2 linked regions of the Rattus norvegicus genome follow. The main gene of each other region encodes a partner of the protein of the gene in region 2 in a complex. Links are inferred from orthologs where the notes say so. Each region holds a gene or a part of one and is shown on either strand. Other genes may lie near its edges.

What was found.
Region 1: the proteins of Slc9a1 (region 2) and Chp2 are in contact, whole or in part, in a crystal structure (PDB 2BEC), measured with the Homo sapiens proteins. The link is inferred for Rattus norvegicus from reciprocal best matches to the Homo sapiens genes SLC9A1 and CHP2. Residues at the interface, in NP_003038.2 of Homo sapiens: Ser517, Ile518, Asn519, Glu520, Ile522, His523, Thr524, Gln525, Phe526, Leu527, Asp528, His529, Leu530, Leu531, Thr532, Gly533, Ile534, Glu535, Asp536, Ile537, Cys538, Gly539, His540; in NP_071380.1 of Homo sapiens: Arg30, Arg34, Leu38, Leu51, Ile54, Ala56, Leu57, Asn60, Pro61, Leu62, Ile66, Phe70, Phe83, Leu87, Phe90, Tyr118, Ala119, Leu122, Tyr123, Met136, Val139, Leu140, Met143, Ile156, Arg159, Thr160, Glu163, Ala164, Phe177, Ser180.

Annotation. Positions count from the first base shown.
Region 1 is NC_086019.1:186,198,607-186,203,084, reverse strand, and holds the start of Chp2 (calcineurin B homologous protein 2), read right to left. Parts: upstream 2,839-4,478; coding exon 2,772-2,838; intron 2,117-2,771; coding exon 2,044-2,116; intron 1,938-2,043; coding exon 1,857-1,937; intron 1,743-1,856; coding exon 1,612-1,742; intron 1,464-1,611; coding exon 1,402-1,463; intron 675-1,401; coding exon 552-674; intron 372-551; coding exon 318-371; 3' UTR 1-317. UniProt on the Homo sapiens protein: Functions as an integral cofactor in cell pH regulation by controlling plasma membrane-type Na(+)/H(+) exchange activity.
Region 2 is NC_086023.1:150,898,214-150,902,017, reverse strand, and holds part of Slc9a1 (sodium/hydrogen exchanger 1), read right to left. Parts: intron 1,033-3,804; coding exon 572-1,032; intron 1-571. UniProt on the Homo sapiens protein: Electroneutral Na(+) /H(+) antiporter that extrudes Na(+) in exchange for external protons driven by the inward sodium ion chemical gradient, protecting cells from acidification that occurs from metabolism.

The sequences.
Region 1 (4,478 bases), on a different chromosome or scaffold from region 2:
GATGACACCATGCGTGTCCTTGGATCCAGGTGTGCATAAAGGCAACTACTTCCGGGCTGTCTAGTCACAGGCCCATGTCATCCTTTTCCCTTTTTTATCTTGTCACTTTGGGTTGGCCTTTCAGCCACTTGCAACCAAATCACTGGCTGATTCACAAATCTGAGAGCAAATGAGACTTCAGCACACGCTCCTCCAATTCCCTTTCCTAACCTTAAACAAAGTTTCAGAGTAGAATATGGCTTGTGGGCTCCTGCTTCCAGAGGCCTGAGGATAAATCCCGAGTCCATAAATGTTTGCATGAGTCAAAGACACAGGGGTCACTTCAGGATCCGGATGCTCATCTTCTGCTCGATGTTCATCTTCTCTAAGGACTGGGGAGAGATGGGTGTGGTCAAGTCAAGAGGCTTGAGTCTCAACCTAGGTGTCTCATTCACCTCCTCCCTTGGAGTCCTTGCATCCCCCAATATGCCCCAGGTCTCTCCCATCCTCCAGTGACTTGTATTTCCCATGCCTTGCTGTCCTAGGGACTCCTGATCTCAACTCCTCCTAACCTTGGCGAACTCCAGGAAGGACACGGCCCCATCCCCATCTTCATCGGCTTCCTGCACTGTGCGGTCTGTGATGCTCTCCAACTGCTCGTCTGTCACCTGGACCCCAACCATGAGGCGGAGAACCTGGGAGGTGAGAGAAGAGGCAGTCATGGAGAAGAGCCACAGAAGCTGCTCCTTTAGCCCCAGCCCTCCAACCTCACCCCATAAGTTACAACCAAATTTTCTCACTCTTCACCATCAGACTCAATTTCCCCTGTAGCCCATAGCAAACGCCTGCCACTGCATCGCTGTCCACTGTCCAGTCTTCCATATGATTCTATCTCACACTCCGACAGTGCTCACCTGCAGCTAAACCTTATAACCCAATCAACGTCCATCCTCCACTCAACAACACCTTCCCCTCCACCCTAACTTTATCATCTGTCCCAGAGTCTTGGCACTACTGACATTTGAACCTAGATAACTCCTTGATGTGGAAGGCTGTCTAGGTGTTTGGGTGTGTACAGAAGTATTGCTGGCCCTTTCCAGATAAACAGCAAGTGTGTGATCTCTTCCCAGTAATGACAACCAAGAATCTTATATACTAGCGAGAAGCCGAATTACGCCTATGTTGGGATTCCGAACTCTGTTCCCAGTCTCATACCTACTTACTCCCCACCCCTTGTCCTTAACTAACCCAACCCCAACCCCATCCAATCCCAGATCTTACCTAACACATAATCAACTGCAACCCCAGTCATCACACACACACACACACACACACACACACACACACACACACACACACACGCCTCCATTTAACCATCTTGCCCTGCCCACATCACATCTGATGTACCCATGGTCTTCTGACCTGTAGCATTTCATTCCTGGAGATCTTCCCATCCCGATCCAGATCATAGAGCTGAAATGCAACTGGGAAAAGAGAGGGGAAGAGGAAGTGAGTTTCCCTGAGCTGATATTAAGTCCTCACCAGGCCCACAGGGGGAGTTAGAGGTTCCCGGGTCTCTCCTGGTATGGATAAATGTGGAGGGCCTCACTTGGGCAGGTCTCACACACTCACAGCGCAGTTTATTCATTCTGCTGTTTAGGGGTTCAGGTTGCTTGGGGTCTCGGAGTGTGGCATCGTCTTCATCTATAGGTCGAAAATAAGCCAGGACTCTGGCAAAGCCTGCGAAATACACTCTCTGACTCCTATAGGGACAAGGATGGAGAAGGGCAATGGTCACCCAGACTGCCACCATCGGTAGCATCGCTTTGCCACCCACACCCATCTCCCCTCTGGTCAGCCAGTGGACACTCACTCACCCATTGGGGAAGAAGCTGTCTATAATGCGGTCACCCAGGGGGTTCACAGCCAGGGCTCCAATCTGCTGGAGGTCTAGGCGGCTGTGAGGACAGCACAATGAAAGCAAAGGAGGCAGATGGCGGTGTCAGTGAGGAGGGTGGGGACAGAAAAAGCAGAAGCAAAAGATCTTAGATCTCTTCTACTCACCTCAGGAAGCCCTTTTCCTCCCTGTCTAGGGCTTGGAACCTGTGGTAGAGACGGAGCAGGCTAGCTTGGGAGACTGCGGAGAGAAGGAGGTGGGGATGAGCCCTCAGAGGACTCGCAAGTCCTTACTGCCAGATCCCGTGTGCCTTGGGTGCGCTGCAGGGGACCCAAGGGGATGTGGGCAGGAAATGAGAATAAGAGGGTTTAGTCCCATCTCTAACCTCCCCCTACACCCTTCAACATAACAGGGAACAGGGTCATCTATCTCCCCATCCTCAGCGCGACTTCAACCATAAGTAAGAGGCAGATGGATGGGGATGAGAGTCGTTACCCTTGCATGACCATGTGTGGAGTCGACTCGGCTGGAGGGAGCTTGACTCAAGGAAATACTAGGTTGGAGAACCCAGGAGGTTCTCAGAGCCCAGGCATCCGTCCTCAGCTCTGCCTTCAGTCTCCATCCGAGCCCAAGGACACCTGAGTGAATCTGGTCCATCAACCCGGACTGCCTCAAACTTGACTCTTAAGTACCTGGGCTCTTGGTTTTCCAGCTCCAGAGGCGCAAATTCCCAGACTCACACTCTAAGCCCTCTAAGTCTCTGGGATCTGGAATACTCAAGCTACATTCTGGTGACCCCCTTCACTACTCTAAAACTCCTCCTGTCCCCGCCCACGTACTACTGAGCTGCGCTCACCACCACCACCACTACCACCACCACCACCCTCACACTCACAGCCCGTCTCTCTGCGAATTTGGTCCACATCAGGAATGAGCGCGACATGAGAGCTCCGTGAGCCCATGGCAAAGCCACAGAAGGAGACGAACAGCCAAAGGAACCAGGCGTCCTCTCCTTCCTCTCCTCCCGTCCAAAGGCGCGGCTGCCCAGTGGCCCCAGAGCCGAAGGTCACCGGCCTGGAGAGCAGCCAGAATCCAGGCGTTTTTTGCCTGCCACCTACAATCCTGGAGAACAGAAAACAATGCCCGGGGTAGCCGGTCAGAGGGGAAGGCTAAGAACAACTGGTCGTTTCAGCCCGGAGATTGAGGTCGCCAGCGGCTGAGCGACGCCAGGGCCCCGCCTTCCTCACGCCTATGCGAGCCAGTTTTCGCTCAATACTCCCTAGATACAAGCCTACCTCCTCCATGGGACCTCCCAGATCTGCTCACCCAGTGCTCTCACTCGGTTTTAAGTCCTGCTGGGCGGGATGAAGATTTTCTTCTAGGGAGCGGAAGAGGGGGCAGGGGGAGTGTTCGGCTCCCTGGGCAGGAGGAATGGTGATGAGAAAGTCCGGGCTCCACTAAGTGGGACAGCAGAGACAGGAATCCCGACTACTCTCTCCTTATGCTACACAAGGGCACGAAGTTTTATCTATGTACGAGTATCGTGTGGTTGAACTAATTCTTAAGATCCACAAAGCCTCGTAAGACCTGCACTGAGGACTCTGGTGCAGGAAATTAGCCATGAGTGGGTGGCTACTCTGAGCTACATGAGTCCTAAGCCAACCTGGGCTTCCTTGTTTGACCTTATCTCAAAACAAACAGAAGTGTAAGATTTATCCCAAATCCAAACTCCTGGATTCTCTCAGAAATCAGAAGTTCTGGGGCTAACTTTGCAGCTGAGTGGAACGGATTGCTTGCCAATACAAACCCAAGGCCGTGGGTCTGACACAGCACAGTGGGTTGAGGAAATTCCTAGACAGTTCTGCTATCTCTAACGAGAGGCTCTTTGCCACGGTGCCCATACAATCCATGTTCACTCTCCCAGTGTGCCCTATGGGCCCGATAGAACAACAGGTGTGTAAACACTTAGGCTTCTGACCAGTACCAGCACCCGCAAGCTGAAGTCTGTGACCTGGCTTAAAATACTAGACAGTCGCCTCACTGGTGGCACATCCACATAGCATTCTGTCAGAAAGTAAGCATCCCAAGAGGGTGGACTGAGACAGAAATAAAGAAGCAAAGGCCAGTCATGAAGAACCTTTGTCTAGATCAAGTAGTCAGTGTAACACCTCAGACCAATACGCTAGAGCTCAACATGGAGAATTTACAAATTTAGGGGCCGTATAAGAACAAACTTGGGCTGGAGAGATGGTTCGGCGGTTAAGAACACTGACTGCTCTTCCAGAGGTCCTGAGTTCAATCCCCAGCAACCACATGGTGACTCACAACCATCTGTAATGAGATCCGACACCCTCTCTGGTGTGTCTGAAGAAAGTGGCAGTGTGCTCACACACATAAAATAAATAATTCTAAAAAGGAACGAACTTAACACAATCTGAACTGTGGACAGGAACTTGGTGACATTCAATAAAGTATTTTTAAAAGAACCAAGGCCAAATTCCAGGTTGACTCTCCCCTAGGTTTGTTTTGAACAACAACATACGTGGTAGAATACACAGAGGCATAGGATGGGGCCTTGTGCTGATACTTAGAAAGCCTCCTG
Region 2 (3,804 bases):
TCTCAAAAAAACTGACCAAACAAGAAAACCAAGCAGTCAACCCAGTCCTACTAATCTCACACTCACCACATCCTAGAGGTCTGGGGAACAGAGCCCTTTCATTTCCTTTGCTCAGAACCCTGCACAGACCAAATTCTTAAACAGCCAACATAAGAGCTAAAAGGCTCCTCAGAGACTAAATGGGCTATGAACTGAGGCGGGAAGAAGGCCAGTAACTGGGCAACACAGTATCAAATGCAAGCTGGTCAGGAAGCAAGTGACCTACTAGGCCAGTGGCTCAGGCCCTGGAGGGCCACAGAATGAACCAAGCACACTGCCTCCAATCTTGGCCCCACCACATTCTAGGAAGCTGTCTAACTTCTGTGGGGTGTTTCTAGTTCTGTAAGGTGAGAAAGTTCGTCTCTCCTTGGGTTGTCCTGAAGATTAGGAGAGAAAATCTATGTCCCGGTGCTCAGAGCAGTGCCCAACACACAGCAAGCATGGGGGACACTGGCCGTCTTTATCATCATTAGTGGAAGGATAAGGCACCGCTTGCCCCCGTGTGCGTGTGCTGTGGCCCCTGACCCCTCACCACAGTGACGGCATCGTTGAGCAGGGACTCCCCAAAGACCAGGATGTGCAGCAGCTCATTGATGTGGATCTCCTCGAAGACGGCCAGCACGGCCACCGGGTCCACCGCGGAGATGATGCTACCGAACAGCAGGGTGTCCAGCAGGCCGATGTTATTGATCTGCTCGCCGCCCACCAGGCACACGGCGTACAGGAGGCCACCCAGGAAGAAAGCATTCCACAGCGTGCCCACCACAGCAAAGATCAGGATGGTGCCCAGGTTCTCCGTGAACTGCCTCAGAGGCAGGAAGTAGCCTGCGTCCAGGATGATGGGTGGCAGCAGGAAGAGGAAGAAGACGTCCGACTGCAGGAAGGGGGGCGTCTCTCCAACGCCCTTGATCAGGCCCCCCACCAGCAGCCCCACTACGATCAGCAGGCAGCTCTCCGGGACGATGCTCGAGATGGTGGGGATCACATGGAAACCTGTGAGGGGCGAGAGAACGGGAGGCCGTGGGCTTTTCAGGGGAGCCAGAAGAACAGAAGGTTGGGGACAGGACTGGGGACCAGGAGAGCAGCTGGCGAGAGGTGCACAGGCTTGGTCTCAGAAGGCCGCTCTGTTAACTCTCTGGGCCTCGGGTTCCTTGCCTGTAAAACGGAAGGGATAATACCAGCTTCACAGGGCTGTGGTATAAAATAATTATTTTAAAAATTTATAGTGTGCGTGTGTGCATGCGTTTGCACATGTATACATGCACCATGACACATGGGTGGATGTCAGAGGACAACTTGTAGGAGTTGGTTCTTTCCTTCAACCAGGTCCTGGGGACTGAACTCAAGTCCTCAGGCTTGGTGGCAAGCATCTTCACCTGCTGAGGCACCTTGGGCCCGACGTTTTCACAGAGTATTCACCAGCTGCCTGTTACCGTGGAAAACTGTCACAGAGCAGCAGCTCTGCATGCCTCTGACAGAAATCAAAGTACCTACGGCACCGAGCTACCCTGAACCCATGGCACTTTCTCAGGCACATGCTCAGGGAGCCGACTTGCGTCCCACACAGAGACACAATCCTGCCTCAGGAAAGGCGGCACGCCTCGTGCCATGGAGTTGACAACGGATGGTGTTAAAGTGGGGACCTCAGAGAGATAGGAGACTCATACAGCATCAGTGCCAGGAGAAAAGTGGGGACAGTAGGCCTGGGTCTGCACACCTGCAGAGCACATTCAGGAACCTCCAGCCCCAGACTCGCGGGCAGCAGGCAGATCCAGAAGATCCCAAGAAATCAAAGGCTGGCAGTTAGTTTTGGCAAGTAAAATGAAATCTCTTTGCCATTCTGCCTTTAGCCCAATTCTATCCATTCTACAGATGGGGCAACTGAGGCTGAAAAGGTGAAGGCATTTGCCCAAAGTCAGAGCAAATCAGTAGCGGAACCAGGAGGAGCCCAGGTCTGAAGCCCAGCTCCCAGCAAACTCCACAGTTCTGAAATTTTAGTTCTCCTTGCCTCCCTCCACACCGAGGCACTATGACATCCACCAACCACTTCCCCAAGTAGCGCTGGCCCTTCTCTGTTGGGGCCTATGCTGAGGTACCAGACCCAGGCTTCCAGGGATGCAGGGTTAGGTCAGAACCCCACATTCCCTATGAGCTCTTGGGTTTGCCTTTGGAGTAGGAAGGCAGGTGAAGACCTGAGCAACCAAATGCATGTTGGGTACTCGGTCCCCCAAAGCCATCTTGGTCAAAAGGTCGTGAGCCCTCTGCTCAAGACAAGGTGCTCTCTCTTCCTCCCTACCAAGCAAGCTCTGAGCTGGTGAATCCAATCGATCGCATATGCCCAAGGCTGAGGCGACCTTTGGAGCTTAGCGCATGCCTCATGACTTGATACACAGAGATGGGACACATCCCGCGATCTTCAGGGCCTGCCTGGTCAGACCTCCCCATCACTATACCCTAGACCTGTGGAAAAGGACATTTCTCCCTATGGCAAAGCCCTCCTGTTCAGTCTGACCCAGGCAATGCTAGGATAGCACGACAGTCCCCACACAACACCAAGTTCCCAGAGACACTAACAACACGTTGGAAAAACATGGGTCTTAGGGTAGGAAGAAAACTCAAAGCAACTGTGTACATGTTCCTGATTCCACACGTCACCTTGTGTGGAAAAGCTGCCTAGGTCACAGAGCCTCCCAGTAACACCAGTGTGCAGCTGGCAGGTGCACCCCTTGTCCTGCCCTCCTTCCCAGTCCCTGATACTCAGATTCTTCGAAATTGCCCCAAACGAGCAAATAGGCCCCGAACTGTGTGGCTGGTCAAGTGTGCTTCTGCCTCCTCTTCCAGGAAGTCTGCCCTGACTAGCCTGTCTGTCTAGGGCAGGACAGGAATTCCCCTCTTGTGCCTCCTTCTTTGACAACCTAAAAGCCACAGTCACCACCTTTCAACCTGGTACCCTCAGAGGTCAGGCAACCATCTAAAGCATAGAGACAAGCCCACAGCATCTTACCCAGAGATCTGCACGGCCCTGAAGGGGAGACTACATGGCCTGCTACACTGTGGATCTTAAAATTTTTAATTCCTCAAGTTTTAAAGGGTTAATAACACCAGGAGGATGACCAAGCATCTATGAGGTGGGATCTGGGAGAGGCTTTATGGTCACCGGGAGTGTGTCCCTCAAGGGGAGAAAGAAAGGCCCCACGAGGTTCTCTCTCCTTGTTGTCTTTGCTCTTTGGTTCATGATTTAAGCATTTTGTTCCGCTGTGTGCTGCCCCCACAATATGCCACACACCCGAGCAAGAGAATCATTCAATCTTAGATTAAAACCTCTAAACTGGGGCAGGGATGATGGCTTGGTGGGTAAAAAAGTGTGTGCTGCTTCAGATACCACAGTTCAGATACCGGCACACACACACACACACACACACACACACACACACACACACACAGAGTAAGCACACACACACACACACACAGTAAGCACACACACACACATACACAGTAAGCACACCCACACGCGCACACACACTGTAAACACACATACACGCACACACACACTGTAAACACACACATGCACACACACACTGTAAACACACACATGCACACACACACTGTAAACACACACACTCACACACTGTAAACACACACTCACACACTGTAAACACACACGCTCACACAAACTGTAAACACACACAGACTCACATACACATTGTAAACACACACACTCACATACACACTATAAACACATAAACCTAAATCCACACACAATGT